Tamandua tetradactyla: one gene and its partner. The protein of the gene in region 1 purifies or fractionates together with the protein of each later gene. This does not show direct contact. Links are inferred from orthologs where the notes say so. Each region holds a gene or a part of one and is shown in the gene's direction. Other genes may lie near its edges.

Region 1 (7,313 bases):
GCATCAAAATTGGAAAGGAAGAAGTAAAACTATCACTGTTTGCAGACGATATGATACTATACGTCGAAAACCCGGAAAAATCCACAACAAAACTACTAGAGCTAATAAATGAGTACAGCAAAGTAGCAGGTTACAAGATCAACATTCAAAAATCTGTAGCATTTCTATACACTAGTAATGAACAAGCTGAGGGGGAAATCAAGAAACGAATCCCATTTACAATTGCAACTAAAAGAATAAAATACCTAGGAATAAATTTAACTAAAGAGACAAAAAACCTATATAAAGAAAACTACAAAAAACTGCTAAAAGAAATCACAGAAGACCTAAATAGATGGAAGGGCATACCGTGTTCATGGATTGGAAGACTAAATATAGTTAAGATGTCAATCCTACCTAAATTGATTTACAGATTCAATGCAATACCAATCAAAATCCCAACAACTTATTTTTCAGAAATAGAAAAACCAATAAGCAAATTTATCTGGAAGGGCAGGGTGCCCCGAATTGCTAAAAACATCTTGAGGAAAAAAAACGAAGCTGGAGGTCTCGCGCTGCCTGACTTGAAGGCATATTATGAAGCCACAGTGATCAAAACAGCATGGTATTGGCATAAAGATAGATATATCGACCAATGGAATCGAATAGAGTGCTCAGATATAGACCCTCTCATCTATGGACATTTGATCTTTGATAAGGCAGTCAAGCCAACTCACCTGGGACAGAGCAGTCTCTTCAATAAATGGTGCCTAGAGAACTGGATATCCATATGCAAAAGAATGAAAGAAGACCCATCTCTCACACCCTATACAAAAGTTAACTCAAAATGGATCAAAGATCTAAACATTATGTCTAAGACCATAAAACAGTTAGAGGAAAATGTTGGGAGATATCTTATGGATCTTACAACTGGAGGCGGTTTTATGGACCTTAAACCTAAAGCAAGAGCACTGAAGAAGGAAATAAATAAATGGGAACTCCTCAAAATTAAACACTTTTGCGCATCAAAGAACTTCATCAAGAAAGTAGAAAGACAGCCTTCACAATGGGAGACAATATTTGGAAATGATATATCAGATAAAGGTCTAGTATCCAGAATTTATAAAGAGATTGTTCATCTCAACAACAAAAAGACAGCCAACCCAATTACAAAATGGGAAAAAGACTTGAACAGACACCTCTCAGAAGAGGAAATACGGATGGCCAAGAGGCACATGAAGAGCTGCTCAATGTCCCTGGCCATTAGAGAAATGCAAATCAAAACCACAATGAGATATCATCTCACACCCACCAGAATGGCCATTATCAACAAAACAGAAAACGACAAGTGCTGGAGAGGATGCGGAGAAAGAGGCACACTTATCCACTGTTGGTGGGAATGTCAAAGGGTACAACCACTGTGGAAGGCAGTTTGGCGGTTCCTCAAAAAGCTGAATATAGAATTGCCATACGACCCAGCAATACCATTGCTAGGTATCTACTCAAAGGACTTAAGGGCAAAGACACAAACGGACATTTGCACACCAATGTTTATAGCAGCATTATTTACAATTGCAAAGAGATGGAAACAGCCAAAATCTCCATCAACAGAAGAGTGGCTAAACAAACTGTGGTATATACATACGATGGAATATTATGCAGCTTTAAGACAAGATAAACTTATGAACCATGTAATAACATGGATGGACCTAGAGAATATTATGCTGAGTGAATCCAGCCAAAAACTAAAGGACAAATACTGTATGGTCCCACTGATGTGAACGGACATTCGAGAATAAACTTGAAATATGTCATTGGTAACAGAGTTCAGCAGGAGTTAGAAACAGGGTAAGACAATGGGTAATTGAAGCTGAAGGGATACAGACTGTGCAACAGGACTAGATACAAAAACTCAAAAATGGACAGCACAATAATACCTAATTGTAAAGTAATCATGTTAAAACACTGAATGAAGCTGCATCTGAGCTATAGGTTTTTGTTTTGTTTTGTTTTGTTTTGTTTTGATTTTACTATTATTACTTTTATTTTTTTCTCTATATTAACATTCTATATGTTTTTCGGTTATGTTGCTAGTTCTTCTAAACCAATGCAAATGTAGTAAGAAATGATGATCATGCATCTATGTGATGATGTTAAGAATTAATGATTGCATGTGTAGAATGGTATGATCTCTAAATGTTGGGTTAATTTCTTTTTTCCGTTAATTAAAAAAAAAAAAAAGAGAAGGGATAATTGGAGATGAAGGGATACAGACTGTACAACGGGACTGGATATAAAAACTCAGAAATGGACAGCACAATACTACCCAATTGTAATGCAATTATGTTAAAACACTGAATGAAGCTGCATGTGAGGTATAGGTTTTTTGTTTTTGTTTTTTTTGTTTTTTTTTCTTTCTATTATTGCTTTAATTCTTATTCTGTTGTCTTTTTATTTCTTTTTCTAAATCGATGCAAATGTACTAAGAAATGATGAATATGCAACTATGTGATGTTATTAAGAATTACTGATTGTACATGTAGATTGGAATGATTTCTAATTGTTTTGTTAATTCTTTTTTTAATTAATAAAAAAAAATAGAGTGGTATACGGGTAAAAAATACAGCCTAGTATAAACTATGTATAATAGTACAATTATTCTTTCATCAATTGTAACAAGTTACCAGAGAGATGCAAAGTGTTAAAAGAGGGGGTGGTGGTGGTGGTACATGGGAATGTTGTATTTTGGATTTCTCTGTAAATTTACACTTCCCTAATTCAAAAAAATTAAAAACCTATGACACCTAATCATATACAATTGTATACAATCAAAGGTTCACAGTATCATAACATAATTGTGCATGTATCTCTGTGCTGGTTTGAAAGGAGTATGTACCCTAGAAAAGCTATGTTTTAATCCTGATCCATTTTGTGGAGGCAGGGGTTTCTTTTAATCCCTATGCAGCACTGTAGGTTGGAAACTTGATTAGATTATCTCTATGGAGATGTGACACACCCAACTGTGGGTATTAATCTTTGATTAAAGGGGTTGCGACTCCACCCATTTCAAATGGGTCTTATGATTAGTTTACTGGAATCCTTTAAAGAGGAAACATTTTGGAGAGAGCCATGAGAACCACAAGAGCCCAGTCAGCCAGAGACCTTTAAAGATGAAGAAGGAATATGCCTCTGGGGGAGCTTCATGAAACAAGAAGCCTATTTTTTGCTAGCCTGAAAGAAAGCTAGCAGATGTTGCCATGTTTGCTATGTGCCTTTCCAGTTGAGAAACCCTGAACTTCATCAGCATTTCTTGAGTGATGGTAACCTTTCAATGGTACCTTAATTTGGACATTTTTTATAGACTTGCTTTAATTTGGAGATTTTAAACTTGCAACTTAAAATCCCCTTTTTAAAAGCCATTCTGTTTCTGGCATATTGCATTCCTGCAGCTGGCAAACTAGAACAGTCCTCATGACCAATCCTTAATCATGTTTTTGTACAAACTTTATACGATATATTTTTTTGTCACCACCATTTAGGACGCAATAGGCACTCAGTCAATGTTTGTTACTGTATAATACTACAGTTTGCCTAGTTCTGTAAGTTTCTTTAGGGGCTATGCCATACTTTTTTTTTTTTTGGTTTCACTTCACTGAGTCCACAAAGCAGAGTGGCAAGCCTGAGTTATGAAGGAGAATCTTGCTAAGGGTGGGGGTCCTCAAAGGGTTTATTCTCAGAGCCCTGACAGATGAGAGGCTCCGCAGGTACAGAAAACGAGAGACAGGAAAAGAATGATTCCAATGACAGATACTTCCAGAGAGCCCATCTCCCCGTTTTTCATTCATTATTCAAGATAGAACAAAACTCTCAAGCAACCGATGAAGGCGAAGGGATCGGAGGCCTGTTTGAGGGATGGAGAGTGAGGCGGTGGTTGGGGCGGGGGTTGAGGAACAGCTGAACACAAATCCTACAGGCCGGAGTAAACGCAACCTTCGTCCGTAATTTCACATTTCCCGCGATTCCTCTCATATCGTTCATATCAAATAGACGGTCTCCTTCCGCCACCCCCCACTCCTGACAGCCTATCCCGAGGACGAGATCCAGACTGTGTGACCACTAATTACAACGGAAACATTAGCGGGAACAGAACGACTCAAGATAGTTTTTCCAAACAGCATCAAACCAGCGAGATCCCGCGAGTTTTGGGTAAAAAGAGCGTCCACCGTAAGGCCACCTACACTTCCCCCTACCGGCGCTGAGCAGGCTCAAACGGGTCGCGCGCCGCAGAAGCCGCGCGTTACCCCTAGCGCGAGCCTAATGCGCATGCTCAGGCGCGCACGCAGCCCCACCCCCGTCGGCCCGTCAGCCGGCCGCGTGCAGCCCTCTCCGCCACCCGTCGGGTCTGTGTTGCCTCTCGGCTTCCGCGCCGTTGGGGGAAGTGCTGACGAATCTGGGCGCACTGTTAGAGGGAAGAGCTGGGAGGCCGGATCTACTGGGGAGAGAGCGGCAGAGTGTAGCAGGGTAGAAGTGGGAGGGAGGCAGAGTTCCGTGACGGAGCGCGGCGTAGTAAGTCAGCTTGAGTCCGATTCAAGTTCAGGACCTAGACTGGCCATCCAGACCCGTTTGCCCGCGGTACACCTGGTTTGAGGAGGACAGACCGGACACAGAGAGACCGACCGAGCAAGGAGACATGGCCTCGTCATTTCTGCCCACGGGGGCCACCACAGGCAGCAGTAGCGGGGAGCTTAGCTCGGAGGAGGACTCCGGTGATGCCGGGGAGTCCCATCAGAACCCCGAGTTGAAGGCGTCCAGGAGCCTGACGGAGTTGTTCGAGAAGGCTGCAGTACATCTCCAAAGCCTGATTGAGGTGGCCAGCAGGGAGCAGCTCCTGTATCTGTATGCCAGGTACAAGCAGGTAAGGTCGCAGGGAAGGAGTGGATGTAGGAGAGACAAGGGGGCCTTGCCTTCTCTTTCCTCCAAAAACAGATAGCAAACGTACATGTTTAATGGCTAGGTATAATGAAGTTTGCCTGTGTTTTGTTTTGAATCATCTGCTGGGGGTTAGCATCATTCATGACATAGGAAGGTCCTGTCTGCTATCCTACGAGTGATATGCTGAACACTAAATGACAGTTTTTCTGTCCTCATTGAAACATTCAGTGACTTTGCACATAGCCTTTTACCAGCTTCATAGTCTTTACAGAATGAGGATGATAAAATAAGATTTATCATTCATTTTTTTAAACGGTTTTATTCACACACCTTACACTACACTAAATGTACAATGAATGGCTCTTGGTATAATCACAGTTATACATTCTCCACCACAATAGATACGAGAACATTCTCGTTTCTTCCGAAAAAGAAACTCATACCCCTTTTACCTCCCTATTTTTGACTTTTATCTTTGGTATAGTGCCTTTGTTATAATTAATGAAATAATATTGGTGTTATTAACTATAGACCTTAGTTTGCATTGATTGTATTTTCCCAAATATCACCCTATCATTAGCACCTTGAAATAATGACAAACGTTTTTCTAGCTTGAATCATTCACTCTTGCAAGGGGTCATATGGCAGTAAATATGATAAATGTTAATAAATATCTTTGAGATCCAAGAGAATAATATGATTGCAATAAATGGGATGATCAATAAACAAAATATTACTTTTGTGTTTTTTTAACCTTGTAGATCTCAGACTTATGTTTTGACTGAATATTTCAGTCTGTTACATATAATCATAAAATTTTATATAATCATAAAATTTTAGAGGTAACTTGTCCATGGTCATACAGATAAATCCGAACTCAATTGTAACTCCCAGCTCTCTCTGAAGTCCTGAACTTTAACTGGAAATTTGGATGTTAATGAGTTATTCATATAAGGTATGTTTAATTTATCATTCAAAGAGGCATTGTAAGGAATCAGAAGGAAAAATGGTTGATTTATCAATCAACAAATATTTGTTTAGTTAGTGCCTTTTCTGTACACAAAACTTAGGTGTTGTGCCTATAGGGTATGCTGAAAAGCAAAAGCATCATGATACTTGCCCTCAAGAGGTTTGCAATGTATTTGAGGAATCTAGATGTAAACGTGTAGAATATCTACAATTATCTGAAAAGTCTATTAAAATTTTCTCCTTTTTCTAACAACATGTCTGTGTGATGCCAGTTTTCTTCCTGTGCTTCAGTCAAAACAACATATTGCGACAGGTTCAGTGCAAATGTAGATTTGAGAATTCAACTGCCTTCTATTAAGCCAGACACGAAAGAGATTTACAAAATATAAAACAATGTTACTCTTCTTATAAAATTTTGTTTTTGAGTATATAGTTATTTTCCATAAAATTTTATGTTAACATATAATGTTTTCGTTTGCCAGTGCTTCCAGAATACAATACACCAGAGATGAACTGGCTTTTATAAAGGGGATTTATTTAGTTACAAATTTATAGTTCTTCGGAGTAAAGGCAGCTGGCTTTCCTCTGGCTTCCTGTGTCACTTGGGAAAGCATCCTGAGGCGTCTGCTGACCTTCCCTCCAGGCTTCTTGGTTCGAATGGCTTTCTCTGGGCAATTCCTTTCTGTATCTCCAACTTCTGGGTCTGAGCTGCTGAGCTATCCTCTGACTTTTTTCTTTTAAGCCTCCACCTAATTAAATTAAATGTTACTCATTGTGGGAGGTACTCTCTTAGACAATTGCAGATGTCATCAGCAATAGATAAATTTTACATGCTGATGATATAAGTCAACAGCCACAGAACTAGGCAGCATCACCTGGCCAAGTTGAGACCTGAACCTAACTACTACAAGTTTATTATTATTTTAAATTAATTAACCCACATTTTAAAATATGGTTTCTGTTTTAATTTCTAATATGGTAAATATCATTAGTGAAAACCCATATATAAAGAAAAGCTCTTTGGGGTCCTTAATTTCTGAGTGTTAAGGGACCTTGAGACCAAAAAGTTTGAGAACTGCTGCCTTAAAATTCTCTTTTCATGCCTAGAAGTGGCTCACTGTCGTCACGTGTATGTTCTAATCAGGGTAAAGGGGAAGGGGGAGATAAGCACCACCCCTTTTTAAAAAAACAGTTTTATTGAAATATATTCACTGGCCATATGATCCATCCAGAGTAACAATCATTAGTTCACAGTATCATCACATGGTTGGACATTTATCACCTAAATCAATTTTAGAGCATTTTCACTTTTAAGATGAAAGACTCCTTTATTTTTAGGGAAGGTAATTATATAATTTATATACATCTAATCTCCAGAACCTCGCAGAAGTTAAATAGACGCATGTGATGTTCTGCTGGATGGCCATGTGTCT
Region 2 (7,387 bases), on another chromosome or scaffold:
GACTCTGTTCGGAATCTCTCTGCCATTGATACTTTATTGTGTCTCATTTCTCTCTTCCCCCTTTTGGTCTAGAAGGTTTTCTCATTTCCTTGATGCTGAGTCCCAGCTCATTCTAGGATTTCTGTCCCACGTTGCCAGGAAGGTTTATACCCCTGGGAGTCATGTCCCATGTAGAGAGGGGGAGGGCAGTGAGTTTGCTTGTCATGTTGGCTGAGAGAGAGAGGCCACATCTGAGCAACAAAAGAGGTTCTCTGGGGGTGACTCCTTGGCCTAATTTTAAGTAGGCTTAGCCTGTCCTTTGCGGGGATAAGTTTCATATGAACAAACCCCAAGATTGAGGGCTCGGCCTATTGCTTTGGTTGTTTCCACTGCTTGTGAGAATATCAGGAATTCTCCAGATGGTGGAGTTGAATTTTCCCCCTTTCTAACCATTCCCCCAAGGGGACTTCACAAAAACTTTTTATTCACTGTTTACATCACTCTGGGATTTATCGGGGCATCACTCTGGACAAACCTACAAAATCTCATGCTGTTAGGAAATTTTTGCAGATGATTCTGATTTTCCCAGATTCTTGTTTATGAGAGAGGCCTTGTCTTTTAAATTGATATCCTTGTGGTCCAATCTGACAATAGTTGCTGCAACTCTGCCGGGGTAAAGGTTGAAGGGCTGCTGCAGAGGCTTTAACCAAGCACCTTCTCTGCACTGAAGCTTCACCTTGGTAGTATCAAGGGCTTTCTCAGCCTCAAAACATATCCTTCATTATTCAGGGGAGTAATAGTAAACTTTGAGGTGACTCTAGCTTTTTATATGATCTTTATACTGACAACATACTGCTTCTCAGTCACCTCTGTATCCTTAACATACGGCATGATGCCTGGAACATGGTGGTGTTTCAAATTTTGTTTGATTAACAACTCCTTGAATCCATTAGAAATGACTCCTTTGACTCCCAGGTCTTTGACTCTTGTTCTTATAATGAAATTTATTTTCAGTATGTTTATTTAAAATAAATATTAATATGCAATTAAATTCATACCAAACCTTACAAATATCATTAATATTTATCCTTTATTATAAAACTTCCAAAAAACAAAACAAAACAAAACAAAACAAAACCCACCTCCCATAGGTCCTCACCAGCTGGAAGATAAAGTCCAAACTCCCTAGCCTGAAATGCAGGGCCTTTTGTGACCTGGCCCAAGATCACCTCTCCAGACATACAGACCCCTTGGGAAAGGGGAAGGAGGAAAATAATTTGGTTATTGCATTGTATAAACATAAGGGGTCACTATATTGCAGGAGTCCCTGCTTCTGCCCTCTTACTTTTTAAGCTTCCCCACCCTGAAGGCCTTATTCTTCTTTCTTACCATTGACTCTGTGAACTCCCTGGAAGCATGCCCAGCTTTGGCTGTTCGATTTTTTTTTTTTTTTTTTTTTTTGCAAGCACAACCTTGAATACTGCCCACCCCAAGCACACTTTGTTTTGAGAAAAGAGCACATACCCAGATGTTTTCCCAAATCTGGCACACAAACTTCTGGCATTCAGACACCTTTGTCCCCCAGCTGTTGCCATAGGCGTAGACATACTCAAGTGAATTTGCCAGTCTCACTGTTTGGCAGCTCTCTGTATGTAAGTTCTCCTAATAAATGCTTAAGGATTGATTACCCTGGCATTCAGCGTTTCTTCTGAATCTCAACAGCCCCATTGTGGAGCAGTTTTGGGCAATCCCGGATGGATCTCCCCCTATTTTTCTTTCAGGTTAAGTCTTGTGGCTGTTTCAGCCGGAACCAGCAGAGTCAGATTCTGGAACCTGGACTCTAACCACCACATTCTACTGCCTCCATCTGTGAGGGGTTGAGGGAAGTGTCTGTGATAGGAGTAAATTCTAGAAGCTGCAGAGTTCCACAGGCAGGTCACTCAGCCACCCTCGGAGGCCTGCTGTACCCACTAACTTCATGTAATGCCCTGCCAGAACAGGTGTGTGGGAAGAGCCAGTAGGGCTAGACAAAAGGGTCCTGCCATTCTACTGTGATGAGGAGCTCAGAAAAGAGAAGAATTTTAGGGAATCAAATACTAATTGTAGGAAATGTAATAATTATAAGGACACAAGACTGTACATTTCTGCATAACCCCATAAGGCAGAACTTGGCCAACTTCCCACCAATTAGAATTGTCTGAAAGTGAAAGGCTGTCTCTTATGGGGGTGAGGAGGAAAAAATATGAGAACTCTTGGAACCCCAAGAAAAAATTTAGGAAACTCTCCATTACTTTGCTTTGGGTGAACATTCTGTACAAATGTGACAAATTCTTCCCCCCAAAAAACTTAAATACTAAAATCCCATGTGGCAATACTCAGTTATCAAGTGGTAAAGTGACTATATGTGTTCAGTTTCTTTTTAAATACATAAAGTTTAAATTTTATTATAGAGAACTCATGAATCTTTTAAAATCTGAGAATCCTGATTTGAAAAATACTGAGAGAAACAGAGACAAAGAGAGAGAGGGAGAGAGAGAGAGAAAGTGCCCCTCAGGTCCCTTCTTTCTCTGTAATTCCTGGAGGTGCTGCATTCCAGAACTTTGGACTTGTAGTTGCATTCTGAACTTGGTCATGACAGCCACATTGTCTGCTTACTTCCTAGAAAAACTGCTTCAGTAAAAGCCGGCTCAGTTTGCAGTGAAGTACAAGGTCTTACTCAAGCTCTGACCTGCAAGAATGGCAGCATTCACAGAAATCAGGGCCTTCATTCCCTAATATTATTCTTCTCTGGTTGTTCTTTGGTCTTCATTCGACCTCTGCTTATCTGTGGGAAAAGAAAATAAAGGATTGGGAATTAGGATACCCAGATAAGAGTTCTGGTCCCAGTTTTGTAATTCAGTATCACTGTTTGATTTTTTATTTATTAATTTTTTGCAAGCACAATTTTCTGTAAATCACACCTTCTCAACCTACTTCACAAGGTCATTATTAACTAAAGTAGGGTCAAAATACTTAGAAAAGTTAAATCCAACTAACACTTTTTTTTTGCATGGGCAGGCACCGAGAATCGAACCCGGGTCTATGAGATGGCAGGCGAGAATTCTGCCTGCTGAGCCACCGTGGCCAGCCCCCATCTAATACTTTTAAGGCTTATTATTTTCTTTGACCGCCTCCTCCTTCTGCAGCTGCATATAAGGTATCATGCTGACAGAAGTCCTAGCCCTGGCCAGGTCAGTGTGGGTGACAGCTCTCAGCCTAAGCAGGAGTTTCTAACTGCTTTGAATCATATTTACTTCTGCTCCTGCAACCAACTTAAAAACTAAGAGTTGACTATATTTAGCTCTATATTTTACTTGTGTTTTGTTTCCCTGAGTCAGATGGGAACTACTTCTTCCCACTCTACTCTTCTTCCCATATTCATAGTTTCCCAAAGGCAAAGATCATTTCTGTTTTTGCCCAGGGAGCTCTCTAGCAGGATGAACTAGTTCTTTCCTCACCACCCACAACCTCCAACCTGAATGGGAACCATGTCTTTGGGTTCTTTCCTCAGCACCCAGTTCAGATATTACTCAGTCACAGAGTGAGACCCAAGGGACTGAAGGCTAAAAGCAGATTAAAATGTTGCAGTTACCTTCTAATAACGGATTTTGGGGGTAGATGTGTATCAGACAATGGGATTTTTGTAATGATAGAGAATTCAGAGGGCCTAGGGCACAGAGATCCAGATTTGTGTTATGATTTTACCACTTACTAGCCGTGGTTAGAATTTACTACCCTCTTTCGGCCTCATTTCTTCATCTGTGACGAGGGGGGATACTAATAGTACCCACATTCTAGGTTTGCTGGGAAGACTAAGTGAGATAATGTACAAAATACCTCATCACAGGGCCTGGGATGTAAATGCTCAGCAAAGTGGATGGCTGTTCCTGGAGAATGAAAGGGAAACGTCTGCTTAGTGGAGACCAGTACCTGGAGGACAAGAAACCACGAGGCCTGACTGAGCAGTAAAGTCTCTTGGCTCAGGTTCAGGGCTCCACACCCCACCACCCACAGCCTCTCACGAGGACTTGAACTATCAACGATCAGGGGCTGCCCAGAGTCCCGAGTGAGTAAGGCGGCCAGGGGCCAACCTGGCTTCTTGCAGAAAAGCCTCTCCGAAAAGGCCCAAGCCATTCTGGCTCCGGACGGGTCACACCCGAGGGTCTCCGACCCTCTCACTTACCCGGGATGGCTAAAGGTCCTTAACGGCAACCAGTACCGGTTCACCTAAGGCCCAGGCACTGGCTAGAGCAAGCTGAGGTCAAACTTGCTCTAACTTGGATTTTGGAGCCTCCACGCCAGAACCCCTAATCGAGCATGGAACTACAACTCCCAGCATGCCACGCGTCCACCCTGGGGAAGGGTGGACTCCATCGACCTCGGGGCGGGTCTCTCCTCAAAGCTCGGCGGAACGCCTAGGACTTCCGCGTGTTGCTGTCCCTTCCCACCTAAAGGACACCCTCCCTCATAATTTCTGGGTATTGTAGTCCACTTCTTTCCGGTTTCCGGGCACGAGCCGCTCCTAGGTGAGGCTCAATCCTTCGCCATAAAAACTACAAAACCCAGAAGATAGCGCAAGTTCCCCATATCCAATAGGAAGCCCCCATGTAGCGAGGCGCGGAGCCCGGCTCTCGCAACGCAAGATGGCGGACGAGAGTGAGACAGCAGTGAAGCCGCCGGTACCTCCGCTGCCGCAGATGATGGAAGGGAACGGAAACGGCCATGAGCACTGCAGTGATTGCGAAAACGAGGAGGACAACAGCTACAACCGGGGGTAACAAGATAGTCGGCCCAATTGCTACCCAGTCTCTCCCACAACCTGGTTCTCTGGGGTGCGGGGAAGTCACCGGCAGCTTATTCTAAGGCCCACCCCTATATTCTTATTGGCTAAGACAGTGGGTCCTGTCTGGTGATTGGTTGCTGTCTTTGTCATTTACCAGGATTGGGCGTTCAGTATATTAGGGCCGGAGACATTCAGTACTTTTATTGTGTAAAAGTTCTTCTGTGTAATGTTCCACTCGTTTGCTTCAGGCTCGTCCGGGGAAAAGAGCACAATGCGGGGCCGTCCAATGACAGTACAGTATAAAGGTGTTGTGTGAACAAAATGGTTAGCAATAAACGAAAAATAAAACATTTCCCTACATTCACCTTCAATGAGGAAATTCATCAGGCTATTCAAACCATAATTATGTTGTGAAATAGCAGTACTGGAGAAGTCAAAATATAAACTCACTTTATAAACCCTAGGTAATTACTGCAGGTTGTTTTGAGTTACACGGTGTCCGTTGATCCAAATAATCCGTACATTTCCTGAACTGTATAATTAAGTCTTGCATCTTTGCTCTGTTAACTTTGCGAAGTAACCTCAAGCTGAAAGAAATTGAGCGGTAGTGCTTCTTGAATAGCGTTTGGAAATTGAGTATGATACTGCATTTCCTGTACTACAGGATCTTACCTAGTAGAAACTATGTCTTCCTAAGGAGAAATGCATCAGGAATTTGAGTCTTGAGGGTTTTTTTCCTGCCAAATCCGTTTTCAGTCTTATGCGCCGCACCCTATCATTCATCTTCACGTTGTCACGGTGGCATGGCTGGCGCCCACGTGCTGTATACAAACTTTCTTAGTCCATCTGTATTTACATATATGTTTTGTTAACTGGAAGCTCTGAGTAACTGTGTTGAATGTATAATTCTTGCTGAGTCTGTGGCCTGTCGTAATTTGATTTTCATAGCCAGCTTGTCATTGGCAGTATTGGTGGTAGCCTTAGAGATTAGTAGAGTAGAGGATTGAGGTCTTTGGATAAACTGCTCTTTTTTTAAAAATCTTTTATTGTGTAGCAGCAGGAGAACAAAGGATTATGTAAGTAGTTTATATGGTTTTTAATTTGCTTGTACTAAATCCCAGGTTAAAATATTTAGCTTTTATGTTTTTCAGTCAGCATTAAAAAGCACAAGAAGGGTGTGCAAGGGTAGTTCAGTAGTAGAATTCTCACCTTCTGTACAGGAGACCCAGTTGGAGTCCCAGCCCATGCACTTCCCAAAAAAAAAAAACAAGTAAGTAAACAAACAAAAATTCAACAAATGGTTAAGTTTGTTTTTGACCTGCAATTTCGGGGTACTCACATGGAGAAAGAATGAACTGTGACCCCCACCATACAGCATACCAAAAAAAAAAAAAACTCACGAGAAAAACAAAAGAAATAGGCAGTTTTTCAAATTTGGTTTTATAAAACTGTTTAATTGCTGTAACTCACAACAGATCAAGTATAGCAAAAGCTGCATTTTAAAGTTTGAGATTCCTAAGAATGAAGAGCTGAAAAAAAGAAAAAGAAGGAACAGAAAGAAGAGAAAGTATAGTCCTCTTCAGAAGAGTTGTTGAAAGTGAAAGTCTTTTCAGAACTGAAAATATGTTTTTTTCTTTTCTCTTTATATAGTTTACGTTTTTTTTTTTGACTGTATCCCTGACCAGTGTCTATGGCTCTTTAATTTGTTTTGTTCCTTATAATGTATGAATCACATACAAAACTGTTTGGCATAAAGCTTTGCGTTTTATTTATAGTACAACAATAGTAATTATTTTATAGTAACCTAAAAAAAACACTTTGGAGTGTTTTTGTGTGTTTGTCTGTTTTGTACATGGTTATGGTCTGGTTGAACAACTTAAGTTTATTAGCATTCCAAATCTAGAGGTCTATGTAAATGAGCTTGGAGTGGTTGGGTGAAACACAGAGCCTAGCTGGAGGACAGAATCTAATTCTGGCACTTAGATAATAGAATGTAGGGTAGAATCAACTTTTTCCCATTAATTTCAGCAGAGGTTTTGGGAAAATGCAACATGGCACTGTGGGAAAAGCATGAACTTTGAAGTCATTCACACCTGGATTCAAAGCCTGGTTCTGACATTTAATAGTCTTGTGACCTTGGGAAAATTATTTAACCTAGAATTGTTGCTGGTATTAAGTGAGATAACGTCTGGAATGCAGCCCTTCCCTTCCTGTTCTTTTTTCAAATCTCTGATCCTCTTCCCCCAGCCTTCCCTACCTCACTCTGCTGTTATCACATACTGTATTTTTCATAGCTTTTTTTTTTTTATAGCATAGGCAGGCTCTGGGAACTGAACCCTGGTCTTGGACATGGCAGGTGAAAATTCTGCCCCTAAGCCAGAATAGCTTTTATCGTAGAAATAATTAATTAACATTTTTAATGTGTCCAATTCCTGCCTCACCTGACTGTAAGGTACATGAGAACGGATTTTTTCTGCAAAGTGTGTGGTGCTCACTGGGCCTTAATGAGTATTTGCTCTGTGAAAGAATGGCAAGTATGTTAAAAGCGTACAGCCCAAATGCTAGAGGACTTTCATTTTCCCCTTA

What was found. Proteins that work in one complex are often made in the same cells at the same time.
Region 2: the proteins of ACBD6 (region 1) and NMT1 purify together in Homo sapiens (co-immunoprecipitation; 3 studies listed by BioGRID and IntAct, with this or other methods). This does not show direct contact. The link is inferred for Tamandua tetradactyla from reciprocal best matches to the Homo sapiens genes ACBD6 and NMT1.

The regions. Positions count from the first base shown.
Region 1 is NC_135330.1:35,326,318-35,333,630, reverse strand, and holds the start of ACBD6 (acyl-CoA-binding domain-containing protein 6), read left to right. Parts: upstream 1-4,306; 5' UTR 4,307-4,669; coding exon 4,670-4,894; intron 4,895-7,313. UniProt on the Homo sapiens protein: Binds long-chain acyl-coenzyme A molecules with a strong preference for unsaturated C18:1-CoA, lower affinity for unsaturated C20:4-CoA, and very weak affinity for saturated C16:0-CoA. Does not bind fatty acids. Plays a role in protein N-myristoylation.
Region 2 is NC_135332.1:22,391,076-22,398,462, reverse strand, and holds the start of NMT1 (glycylpeptide N-tetradecanoyltransferase 1), read left to right. Parts: upstream 1-4,373; 5' UTR 4,374-4,661; coding exon 4,662-4,792; exon of another isoform or gene 4,793-4,877; intron 4,878-7,387.